3 linked regions of the Daphnia pulex genome follow. The protein of the gene in region 1 purifies or fractionates together with the protein of each later gene. This does not show direct contact. Links are inferred from orthologs where the notes say so. Each region holds a gene or a part of one and is shown in the gene's direction. Other genes may lie near its edges.

What was found.
Region 2: the proteins of rapamycin-insensitive companion of mTOR-like (region 1) and F-box/WD repeat-containing protein 7-like purify together in Homo sapiens (affinity purification with western blotting; 3 studies listed by BioGRID, with this or other methods). This does not show direct contact. The link is inferred for Daphnia pulex from reciprocal best matches to the Homo sapiens genes RICTOR and FBXW7.
Region 3: the proteins of rapamycin-insensitive companion of mTOR-like (region 1) and target of rapamycin complex subunit lst8-like purify together in Homo sapiens (affinity purification with western blotting; 14 studies listed by BioGRID and IntAct, with this or other methods). This does not show direct contact. The link is inferred for Daphnia pulex from reciprocal best matches to the Homo sapiens genes RICTOR and MLST8.

What each region holds. Positions count from the first base shown.
Region 1 is NC_060019.1:11,217,691-11,221,746, forward strand, and holds the start of rapamycin-insensitive companion of mTOR-like, read left to right. Parts: upstream 1-1,170; 5' UTR 1,171-1,303; coding exon 1,304-1,340; intron 1,341-1,464; coding exon 1,465-1,524; intron 1,525-1,600; coding exon 1,601-1,766; intron 1,767-1,829; coding exon 1,830-1,961; intron 1,962-2,026; coding exon 2,027-2,217; intron 2,218-2,282; coding exon 2,283-2,671; intron 2,672-2,740; coding exon 2,741-3,050; intron 3,051-3,117; coding exon 3,118-3,455; intron 3,456-3,516; coding exon 3,517-3,633; intron 3,634-3,711; coding exon 3,712-3,894; intron 3,895-3,963; coding exon 3,964-4,056. Other genes in the region: NAD(P)H-hydrate epimerase, read left to right, coding at 1-15, 79-335, 418-499, 565-688. UniProt on the Homo sapiens protein: Component of the mechanistic target of rapamycin complex 2 (mTORC2), which transduces signals from growth factors to pathways involved in proliferation, cytoskeletal organization, lipogenesis and anabolic output.
Region 2 is NC_060019.1:12,535,782-12,540,157, forward strand, and holds the start of F-box/WD repeat-containing protein 7-like, read left to right. Parts: upstream 1-1,514; 5' UTR 1,515-1,892; intron 1,893-1,977; 5' UTR 1,978-2,106; coding exon 2,107-2,274; intron 2,275-2,341; coding exon 2,342-2,490; intron 2,491-2,649; coding exon 2,650-3,007; intron 3,008-3,071; coding exon 3,072-3,257; intron 3,258-3,322; coding exon 3,323-3,721; intron 3,722-3,788; coding exon 3,789-3,968; intron 3,969-4,066; coding exon 4,067-4,248; intron 4,249-4,325; coding exon 4,326-4,376. UniProt on the Homo sapiens protein: Substrate recognition component of a SCF (SKP1-CUL1-F-box protein) E3 ubiquitin-protein ligase complex which mediates the ubiquitination and subsequent proteasomal degradation of target proteins.
Region 3 is NC_060019.1:9,055,895-9,059,432, reverse strand, and holds target of rapamycin complex subunit lst8-like, read left to right. Parts: upstream 1-1,339; 5' UTR 1,340-1,451; coding exon 1,452-1,783; intron 1,784-1,850; coding exon 1,851-1,970; intron 1,971-2,035; coding exon 2,036-2,066; intron 2,067-2,126; coding exon 2,127-2,204; intron 2,205-2,288; coding exon 2,289-2,434; intron 2,435-2,493; coding exon 2,494-2,636; intron 2,637-2,705; coding exon 2,706-2,821; 3' UTR 2,822-2,945; downstream 2,946-3,538. Other genes in the region: uncharacterized protein LOC124191397, read left to right, coding at 1-610, 671-763, 829-1,257.

The sequences.
Region 1 (4,056 bases):
TTTGAAAATGTTTGGGTATTATAATCTGAGGTACTTGCAGCAGCAGTTTTTTTTACATGTCTCTTATTTCTTTTATAGCTACTGTCCTGAAATCTTCTATCCCAAGCGTACAGCCAAGACTCTCTATGAAAATCTTACAAAGCAGTGTGAACTGTTTGAAATCCCATTTTTAACAGCATGCCCAACTACTGAAGACTTGAATTCAAAATACTCACTTGTTGTCGATGCACTATTTGGCTTTAGCTTCAAAGCTCCTGTCCGAAAGGAATTCACTGAGATTATTGACAATATGCTACACATGTCTACACCCTGCTGCAGTATTGATATTCCCAGTGGTACAGGAATTCATTTGTTCTTATTGTGCTAGCATTTTTCATACATACAAGTGTGCTATTAAATATTGTCTGGTACTTGCAGGCTGGGATGTTGAAAATGGGCCACTTGATCAAGATAATTCCTTAAAGCCAGCCATGCTTATTTCTTTGTCTGCGCCGAAATTGTACAGTATTTACTTCACGTTCATATTATCTCTGGTTCAAAAATAATTAAAGTCGATTATGGCAGGTGCGCAAGATTTTTCCACGGGATCCATTTTTTAGGGGGTCGTTTTATTGCACCTGCATTGGCTACGAAATACAAACTAAAATTACCAAATTATCCTTCAACGCATAATTGCGTAAGATTATAATATGTTTATCAGCAGGGCCCAGCAGAGCCGTAATAAATACACGATTTCAAAAGCAATGTCTTCATATTAATTATTTTATACTAATTAGTATTAAATTATTTTTAATAAAATCTTGTTTGAAAAGATTTTTGGTAAAAAGTTGTCAGCTGTCTGATGGCATAATCTTTGCTACGCGTTTCACAGAAGAATATATTACCGTCAGCAACCTGATTATTCACTAGCTAATACCGGTTCTTCAGGTGTAAAGGTGTAAAAGTAATAATAATTGAACTATCCATCAATGCGCAAGTATCTTACAAGCTTTTTTTAATATTTACAAAAAAAAAATACTTTAAAATCATATTCATGGATCGCGTTTTCAGAAGAAAAATATATATGTTAATTTTTTGTGAAAGAAATTTTTCTCTAATAATGGACTTTTATAAAAAAATTATCAATTAAAAAGTTTATGTTGTGAATGGAACTTTCAAATACGCTATATTCATTCTCTTGTGATACATAACATAGCCCTTATTAGTAATCTAGATTGCTTCATAGAACGGGAGAACACGTTTCGCATTCAAAAAAGTTCAATCGCGCGCGTTTATTCTCTCAGTTGTTTGTCAACCTTCGAAAATGGAGGTGCCTCGACGATTGGGGCGAACTGTCAAACGTAAATTTTTATTTATTTTTTTTGTTTTACTATAGGAAATTAATTTTCCTACAGTATTTCTGTTTTGTGTGCAAGCTTTCTACATTGTTTGATATTTAATCTTGAATCCTGTTTCTTCATCTAGTAAATGCTACTTCAGATGTGCTAGTTTCTTCAGCAATTGTGAATGGTAACCCTCAAACTGGTAAACTACAAATTTATAGACAAATACTTTATTATGTTTTATTGGTGACTGACTTCCTTGTACTATAAATGTCAAGACCTGACTCCCAGCATTAAGGATGCTTTGCTGCAAATGTGCTGCAAAGATGTTGTTACCCTTGGCAAACCTCAACACATAGGATCGGTTTTAAATGTAATCTCAAAGCATATTGAGAAGAAAGGCTGTGACAGCATTGGACTGGACATTTTGGATTTTTTTATATGGTCTCAAAAGAAGAGTTATATACTTTGTTGTGTATCAGTATTGAAAGATCCTTTTTTTTCCAGTCTACGAATTGCTTTGATCAACGACAGCAAAGCCGTAAGAGCTGCTGGTCTAAGGATAATTAGACTGTGCTTAAAAAATGAAGAATATGCACAAAAATTGGTTCAAGCAGATCTTCATTACTTCATTGCAAAGTATTATAAAGAATGAAATATAGAGGAACAAGCATATTAAGCTATATCTTTTGGTTCTCTAATAGGTGTCTGGATGTGCTCGTGGATAACATGGCAGAACGTGCTCAAGCCTTGAGATTATGTAGGAGATTGATGCTGGTTGATCCACCATCATTCCCTGTTGCTCTGGCGCGTTCAATTGTAGCTCTTGCTTTTGATGGCACCAAAGAAAAGGACCGTTTAGTACGAGCATCTTTGGCTATTCTAGCTGAACTTTGTAAGGTTTATTTCTATTAAAAGCCAAATCAAGACATCAATCCATTGAATTCAATCCATTTATAGGTATCGTAAACCCATCCGTGTTCGTTGCCAGCGGAGGTGTTCGATGTTTCTCATCTGCTGTTTTAGATTGCTCCTCTGCTCGTATGCAAGAAGCTATGATGGCATCCCTACTCTACCTATTCGACACAGAGCCGCGACGTGAGCTTTCGAAATTAAACCTGCGATTTCTGATTGCTCCCTATAGTGATTTCCACTATAGACACTACATAGATGCAGGAGAAGGAAACAATTCATCTACTACGACAGATGATCGTGAGCTTCGTCTACTCTGCGCTAAGCAAGCACTGCTTACAGTTCTTAGGTCTTGGAATGGAGTATTACATGTTATGAGCTGCAAAATTCTTGAAGACCTAGTCAAAGTCTTGCTCCCATGTCACTTGGAAACCAGGGCAAGTTCTTTCATCTTGATTGGATAGCTTGGTGGTTTATAATTAAATGACAATTACATTTTCATATAGAAATCAATGTTGGAATTCTTCTATACACTTCTGCGGTTACCACTGCCGGAATGGACGGACGAATTTTCCGTAGCGCTTCTAGCTACTGATCCGTCCCGTGTACAGGACGCCTGGAAGCTGCAGGAAGGCTATGTAGCTGCAGAAGGCAAATGTCTACTACCGCACATTTCCAAATTCAGACCAAATCTTGTATTAAACCATATGGCCTTGTTGGTTTACTGCTTGGTTGAAGCCAGATTAGTCCAGACACTTGTGGAAGTAATTACGACAAGTGACACTTTTATATCGGTCCGAGCAACAATTTTGCTGGGTACACTCTCGCATAATATAATAAATATTAACTATTATTATTAAATTATGAATCTGTTCCTTTTTAGGAGAGTTATTGCATTTAAGTAGTACTTTGCTGCCACCCTCCTGTCACGGGACAAAAATGTGTCTGCCTCAATTAGTTGACTGCATTACGTCACTTAAAAGCGACCCAGTGAAACGCCACCGAGCCGCCCAAGCAGCAGCAGCCCTCTCCAAAATTCACCAACTTAAGAAAAAAGGAATCGTTCCCTACAGTTTAGCTCTTAAACAAATCGTTGAATTAGAAAGAAGAGCATCGTGCAACAAACACTCCTCCGTGAGATACAAGAAAACTGAGGAGAATGCAACCAACATCCATCGAGACGAGACGGAGTTTCAGACCAATGGAGAAATGGAATCAGAGGTATGAATTTGTGTTCGCCCATTATAAAATAAATCAGATTTTAAAAATTTGGAATTTGTAGATGAGATCCAGCAGAGATTCTGATAGCGTTCTTTCAGCACTTTCTCGAGACTGTGGAGTCCTGGCGCAAAAAGATTCATTGATTTGGAACTGGTCCGTTTTATCCAATCTTTTCTTGGTAAAGATTATCTCATAGAAATCCATCTTTTCTTAAATAATCGAATTTTGTATAAACTTGTTATTGATTTATTATTAGTGGAGTAAGATGAATTCTTGCGCGTTGGAAGATTCGAATTTGAGATCGATTTTCCGTCGGGTAATGCAATTCTACAAGCCCACTAGCAATCAGTTTTGTCAATGCGAATTTAATAATAGCCGTATGCGTCTGTATTCGACCGTTGGTTGTTATCTGATGGATTCTCTTACAGTTATTGAAGAGGTAATCTTTTTCTTCTATTTGAATTTATGGTTTGTTATTAAATTTTTTGGTCGATTTTTATTTTTACAGTTGGAATGTGAAAAGATTTTGGCCGAATTTCTGGATGATGTTAGCAGTGCAATCCGTGATATTTCTCTGGCTTCTTCGGCTCATGACTGCCTA
Region 2 (4,376 bases), about 1.3 Mb from region 1:
TAAAGATTATTTCTCTATCAAACCTGACACGGTCATACGGTTCCATTTGATCCAAGTGACGCATATCCTTAATCCCAATAATCTTTTAAAAAAACTATCTTTATGGATTCATTGACGTACGTCCGATGTGTAGATTTTTATATCGTTCACGTGTTGAGTCCATGTGCCTGTTTAACATTTCAAATAACATTTTCAATATAAAATAGTTTCAACATAAAACAGACCCAGTAAACCGTAGCGCATGTTGGTCTCGTTCGTCATTCACAATCGAACACTATCAAATGACGCAACGTATGTTCGTTAGCTGCAACGACGACTCCATTGTTTAAATAGGCGCGCCTAACCTCACACCTCTTCAATCCGGTGCTTCTGCACTTAAATGAACCGGTCAAAGACCAATTGCTGGTTTATTAAAAAATATATAGATTTCTCAATGCCCACACAAAATGTGCATCAAAGTTTCTTGGCAATTCAATGAGCGACCTATTTTCATGACTGGGGAAGCGACGATAATGCCCGATGAAAGAGCGAATTCAACATTCAACACAAGATCACCGAATGTTTTGTGCTGCGCTTACTAATGATCTTTTTGAAAAGTTAATGCTAATACGGTAGCAGCTATCACTCCGAATCCGAGAAATTTTGAATGTCATGGGGCAATAAACGGAATTGAATATTGTAACAATCAGAGAAAAACGAAAATTTGTTACAATTATATTATTAATGAGGACGAACCTTCAACTTTTAAAAAACCTGCGAGATATCGCGTAAGTAGCAGTTTGAATTTCTTATATCGAACGTTTATAATTCATCGCGAGTCATCTAGCGATAGCTAGAAAAAGCAAGATTCGGGCGCCCTTTAACACTGCGTAGCTGCTATAATGTGTACAAAAATATAGATACACAATTTAGTTGGATGAATACTTAACTGGCTATTGGTTGAATCGGGTTCAACTTTCGTCCAACCGTATGAGAGAACTAGAACTCAACATTACGCAGTAACGTTTTCAACAGAGTTGAAATGCTTGAGAAACAATTTGCACCAAAACTTCCATTGTTATTGAAATTGTGGCTTTAATTCAGTTGGATCTGTAAAGGGCTGATGGTATGAAGAGATTCAAGGGGGACATTTCAGGAGGGGGAACGATGAATAGCGATGATGATCCGTTGAAGTTTCAAGAACTGAACAGTTAGAAACTTAAAAAAAAATATGATATAATACTCTTTGATAGTAATGCAATACAAAAATATTATTAAGGGTGGGGGATGTATGTACAAAGAAAGGCGGGAAAGATGAAATGAGGTAGGCCCACGTATTGGCCTTTAAAAAACCGCCTAGCTTTGTTGTTTAAAAAAGGATAATAATTACCACTATAAATTCGATAGTAACACTGTAAACGTGTCAAGTGGGTTTTGCTACGAGATTCTAAGCGAAATAAAGAAAAAAGCGCATGTGATGACGACCACAGGGCGCGTCCAGCAACTGGGAAATGTTAACAAGCAATTTGGCAACGCTTTTTAGTCCAGCATATATCGTTGTCTGTCTCGGCTTCACCATTCGTGTGAAACAAAATTCTCTTTGATGCTGATCCTCGTGTACAAATTTTTTTCTATATTTACGCTCTTTGTGAAATCGAAATGCCCGAATCATTTTAGTGCTAGATTTTTTCTATTTTAAATCCTTTATTTGATTAAGTTGTTTTTGCCCACCCGTGCTTGCGGAATATTTTCAAAATCGCATTTTAAAGGTCTGCCCTTGTTCCCAAAACACTACACACTATCAAGCCCTCGCCCATATCATTAAAAAGATTCTACTTTTATTTTGATTGCACTTTTTGACTCGTAACGCCATTATAATTTTCGCTGCACTTTTCACTGGATTTTTATCGACGGTAAGTGTGAATCATTCTTGCTTTGTTTCATTATTGTTATAAAAAGAAACCTTTATTAACAACATTGAATCTTCTTTCTTGGCAGATGAGATGACTAGTGTTTAATTGAGGATATGAGTTGTTGTCTAGGCAGCTGTGTTTTGGTTTCCTAGTAATAGCTCAGCTTCTCAATCTCTAGCTTACGTAGCAGTCAGAAACCCAGCAGAAATAATTTATGCCAGCGTCCAGAGGACGGAGTAGTGGGAGGGGCATGGGCGACACTGCTAATGAAAGTCTAGCTCAGAGAAACCTGGTAGACATCAATGTGGCTACTGTTGAAGAGCTTTCCACCTTGGTTGGAGTTGGACGCAGCAGAGCTGAAGCCATTGTGGAAACCAGAAATGTAAGTTTAGGATTAACCCAACACCAGTGTGTTTTATATGGTTTTGACATGTGTTTTTCCTTTGTAGTCCCTTGGAGGATTTACATCCATCGAAGATCTAAGTCTGGCTCCAGGTGTGGGGACAAATTTGATTGAAGCCAATCGTCAGATACTAACAATATCAGTACCAGCTCAGTCGTCTCAGGTGAATGCAAGAAAAGCCAACACTCGGAGCAGGTAAATAGTGTTATACAATACTAAATTTATACCCCCTTCTCATGGTTTTGCTATTAGTGTAGGTATATTTCTTTATTGTTACTCTTATCTAAGCCTTTGTTCTTTGGATTAGGCAAAAATGCGTCATTTGATTCTAAACATGTTTTGTTGTTGCCCTAGAAGCAGTGATAATACAAGCGCTCAACCGACTCCGAGCACCACACCAGTGATATCTAGTTCAAGTGATAACGCGACAGAAGACCAGCAAAACGACAGTGGAAGTAGCAGCAGCAACGAATGGGGTGCTTGCCGTTTGAGGCAGCGCCGGTCAACAAGCAGAATAAATCCACTGCCCGTTGGCAAATCGCCTTCGCTTCGACAGACTCGGAGCAACGATAGCATCATTCAATCGCCTCCTCCTCTCCCCACAACACCTACATCATCGACACCTACTGCTCCTGCCAACGACGCCAGCAATGTATCCGTTAAAGAGGAATCACCCACCTCGGAGAATGATGACGTCGCCAGACCAGGAGCTGTAAGTTTATCCAACACTTATTTGTTATTAAGAACATGAATTTAATTAAGGTGGTGTGTTGTAGACCAAGCGCAAGTCGGAGTCGACAGCTGAGATGGCAGCTGAAGTAGCCACGGAGAAAAAAACATGTCGAAGGGGTGAAGGTGTTGATTCATCTTCCTCGTCAATCTACTGCCATGTTCACCGTAATCCGATTCCCTCGAAAGACAATCCTCCGCCAGGATTTTGCCAGTGGCTTCACACGTTCCAAGTATTTTTCGTCATTCTCTCAACCACTAACTCATTGCTAAGAAAAACCATTTGTTATCATTGCAGTACTGGTCGAACGCTGAGCGTTTATGTGCCATTGACCAACTGATAGAGCTGTGTGAACCCACTCAGGTCCGTCACATGATGGCTGTTATTGAACCACAGTTCCAACGCGATTTCATATCGCTGCTGCCCAAAGAACTGGCTCTGTATGTTCTCAGTTTCCTCACGCCTCGCGACTTGACTCGCGCCGCACAAACCTGCCGTTGTTGGAGAGTCTTGGCTGAAGATAATCTCCTCTGGCGAGAAAAATGTCGTGAAGCGGGTATCGATGACGTTCGTGATACTCTAAATAAGCGACGTCTTCGCGGATCTTCCCACCACTCATCTCTCAGTTGTGGTCTTTCTTCCCCCACCGGATCTAGCCAAAACAATGCACCAATTATTACTCCGTCACCCTGGAAGGTGAATAGATCAATCTGGCTTAAACGTTAATAGGTTGCAAGATAATATTGATTCGTTGCATTTTCAGGCGACTTATATGCGTCACCGAAATATTGAGTTGAATTGGCGAGTGAGGCCGATCCCACAGCCAAGGGTATTGAAAGGTCATGACGATCACGTCATCACCTGCTTACAGTTTTGCGGAAACCGCATCGTTTCGGGATCGGATGACAACACGCTCAAAGTCTGGTCGGCTACTACGGGAAAGGTAATTCATTGGGCTTTCTGCCTAGACAGGACAAAGACTTTAAAAACGCGAAATGTCTTAAGAACAGACAACCATTTAATTGTCATTTCACTCAACAGTGCATGAGGACTCTGCAGGGACATACGGGAGGCGTTTGGTCCTCTCAAATGCAGGGAAATATTATAGTCAGCGGGAGTACAGACAGAACCTTAAAAGTCTGGAACGCTGAGTCTGGACAGTGTTTGCACACATTATACGGCCACACCTCCACTGTCCGTTGCATGCATTTACACGGAAATAAGTCAGTCTTTTTATCAGATATTTGTAGCAAGCACTCTTACTAATTCAACTGTTTTCCTTGATCAAAAATGAATGTAGGGTGGTGAGCGGGTCACGGGATGCAACGTTACGTGTATGGGATGTTGAGAC
Region 3 (3,538 bases), about 2.2 Mb from region 1:
TTACGTTATTCGTTCTTCTTCGACCCCTACTGTGAATGAGGAGGAAAGTTTCCATTTGGGTATGGCGGGTTACCACAACTTCATTAATGGTGTCGTTACTCCTACAGCTGAATGGACTTGGTCCTTCAACGAACGAAACAACAATTTAGTTTGTTCTTGTCATATTTTTTCCCATGACGGTGTGATGACTATAAAATCTGTTAAAATTGTCACCATGACCAAAGTTGCGTTGTATCTGAATGGAAAACCCATCACGCCTCCAGATATGCAATTTGAGTTTCGAAGTAAAGCTGATTTAGCAAATATTCTTGAAGATTTCAATTACAGAAGAACATGTCAAGGAATTGTGGATGATTCGCTAGCAGATACCGAAGTGACGGGTAAATGTGCTGGTATCAAGGAAGGCAATTTGTGGCGCTCAAAAATGTGCATGGGAATTGCAAACCCTCCTGCTTCCGCTCTCTGTTCAAAATGCCGCGTTTTTAAAAATTATTTGAAGAGAAGTACAAATAATCAGAAGACCAAGAAATTGAAAAATTCGAAAGAAGATTATAAATCGAGGTTGCGTTCCACCAAGCAAAGGTTGACACGATCAAATTCTAAAATTGAGGTAAATTATTGTTGGATTTTTTCTCGGAATAATCCTTTAATAGTTCTTTCTGAATTTCAGGCTCTTTCAGGTACCATAGAAGGTTTGCGCAATGAAAGGAAGAAGCTTTACTGGAATAGCTTTGATGTGAAATTAAAGCTTTTAAAGCCCAAAGTAATGATTAATTGATATGTCAAATTTCTCTTTTCAGCTAATTTACAAGAATTACTCACTTTTAGGAACAGCTAGTTGTTAAAACAATGATGGCCAAAGCAACAGTGAATCCTGGAAGAAACGATCGATTCAGCGCAATGCGTTACGATCCCGAATTTCTCAAAGAATGTTTACGAATCAGAAACAAAAGTTCTTCGGCGTACAAGCATTTAAGATCCGAAGGCATTCTTCCCCTACCGAGTCAGAATACACTCTTAAGAATCATGAAAAAAACAGATCTCGGTGATTCTAATAAATCAACGCAACCGGATCCACAAAACGTCTCCGCCGAATCAAATTTCATGGAACAAACAAATGTGGAAAATGAATGTCCTGCCTTACCCCACTTCACTGAGTCCGTATCGCCTACACCTGAAATAATGTTGCTACATTCAGAAGAAATACCTGTGTCTGTACAAGAAGAAATGATTGTTGAAATCTTGTCGGTTCAATAAAATGTGATTTAAAACTTAAAAATTTCTCTTCTTTTTTTTTAATTTCATACCTTTCGTAATTTGGCAATGCGGCCTTGGGCTCGTAGTTTGAGTTTCTGATCGTCGTCTGCTAGTAGAGTGATTTCAGAAGAAAAACAATAAGGAAATTTATTTTGTTGGTTTGACTTAAACGTCAAACAATATAATAAAACCTTATGGGTAATAATAATGGAGATCAAGTTATATTAGCTACAGGAGGTTATGATCACTCAATTAAATTCTGGCAAGCCCACTCGGGAGTGTGTACCCGGACGGTAACACATCCCGAATCGCAAGTGAATGCTCTCGATATCACCCCCGACAGCCAGCTATTGGCAGCTGCAGGATACCAACATATTCGCATGTATGAAATCAACTCTTCTAACCCCAATCCCATAGTCAATTATGAAGGTATTTCACGAAATGTGACTGCTGTTGGATTTCACGAAGATGGACACTGGATGTACACTGGAGGAGAAGACTGTTCTGCAAGAGTTTGGGATCTTAGGTATCATGTTTCCTCGTATTATTGGAAAAAACATAGTTTGATTGAGTTCTCATTTGTGTCATTCTAGGACAAGAAATTTGCAATGTTCCAGAATATTTCAAGTCACTGCCCCTGTAAATTGTGTTTGTTTGCATCCTAATCAAGGTGAACTATTGGTAGGAGACCAAAGTGGTGTCATCCACATCTGGTGAGATTTTACGTACCTTTCTTATTCTGTTGGGAATGATTGTAACACATGGATTGCTTATATAGGGACCTGAGAACAGATCACAATGAACAACTGGTTAGTATTGATACCTCAAGTATTTCCATTTCCATAATAATATCAATCAAATACTTACAGATTCCAGAACAAGATGCCTCCATTCAAGACATTTCCATTGATTCTTCTGCAAACTTCATGGCAGCCATTAATAACAAGGTGCCCATTATTGATGTTTATTCTTAGTTTCCCAACCAAGTCTTGAGATGTTTTTTTTCCTTTTCTCTCTCTACACAAATAAAGGGAAACTGTTATGTTTGGAGCCTCATCCCTGGGACTAAACTGCCGGACGGCGAAGAAGGTTCGACACCAACACAGTTGCGACCGAAAAGCCGTTTGTTAGCTCACAAACGTTACGGTCTCAAATGCAAATTCAGCCCTGACGCAAAGTATACGTTCGCCTCGTTTTCTTTGAATTTCTTTTTCAATCTTACAATTGATCTCGCAGGTACTTGGCCACGACGTCAGCCGATCAAACGGCCAAGTTATGGAAGACTTCCGATTTTTCCCTTCATTCCACACTGCAAACTGAAAATCAGCGCTGGGTGTGGGACATTGCCTTCTCTGCCGATTCACAATACGCAATAACAGGTACTTGACTCTTCTATTCTTCATCCTGGTTTTGTCTGCCTGTCTTGATGAAACATTTCGTTTATCCAGCTTCGTCCGACAACACAGCAAGGCTGTGGAGTATAGAAACGAGCGAGATAGCTAAAGAATACATTGGTCATTCAAAAGCTCTTACCTCATTGGCATTTCAAGACGGGACACCGTAAATTGAACATTTTACCATAATTTTCCCTTTTTTTTGGTTTTTTTTTTTCTTCTATTTTTCTCAAATGTATAAAATGTTTTTCATTGGCTTTGATACACTTAGGAACGCCTGAATTTTTAATGGTACCGTCCCACCTCACTTGTAGAGGTTGATTCATTTGGTAGAGCGGGAATCAACTCACCTATCTTGTGTCGTATTGGCTTTGGCCCCCTCAATCTCAAGACAAACGTCAACGTCAAATTGGATTAACATTCAATCAGTCGGGCGTAATGGGTTTGGGATGGCGTGACGAATTTCAGCCGAATGGAAGCAACCAAGCGCCCTATCCTCCTCTATTCATGTCAAGTCATCCATTTCTACAGTCCAGCAGAAAGGAGAAGGGAATAGTCTCGCGTACAACGAACGTGGGGCTCATCTATCAGTATTAATCTCCTTAGTTGGACACTAGCCTCGATTCTTGATGAGATTACCGAATTCAGGGCACCGAGGATGGACTTGATCGCTCCCGTGCCGGCCATTGTTTTTTCCAAACATCTTTCTTCCGCTCCTTTTTTTATCAGTTGGTTTTCCATCACTTGAATGTCCCATCACTTAAACCACCAATGCGGTGGACCGGGTTGGTCGTCGCATTAATCTCATGTCGACCTCTGATGTTTGATTCCGTAAAAAGTGCCAAGACTCCACATGCGTGCTGGCATCTAGCGACCAATAATAGCAG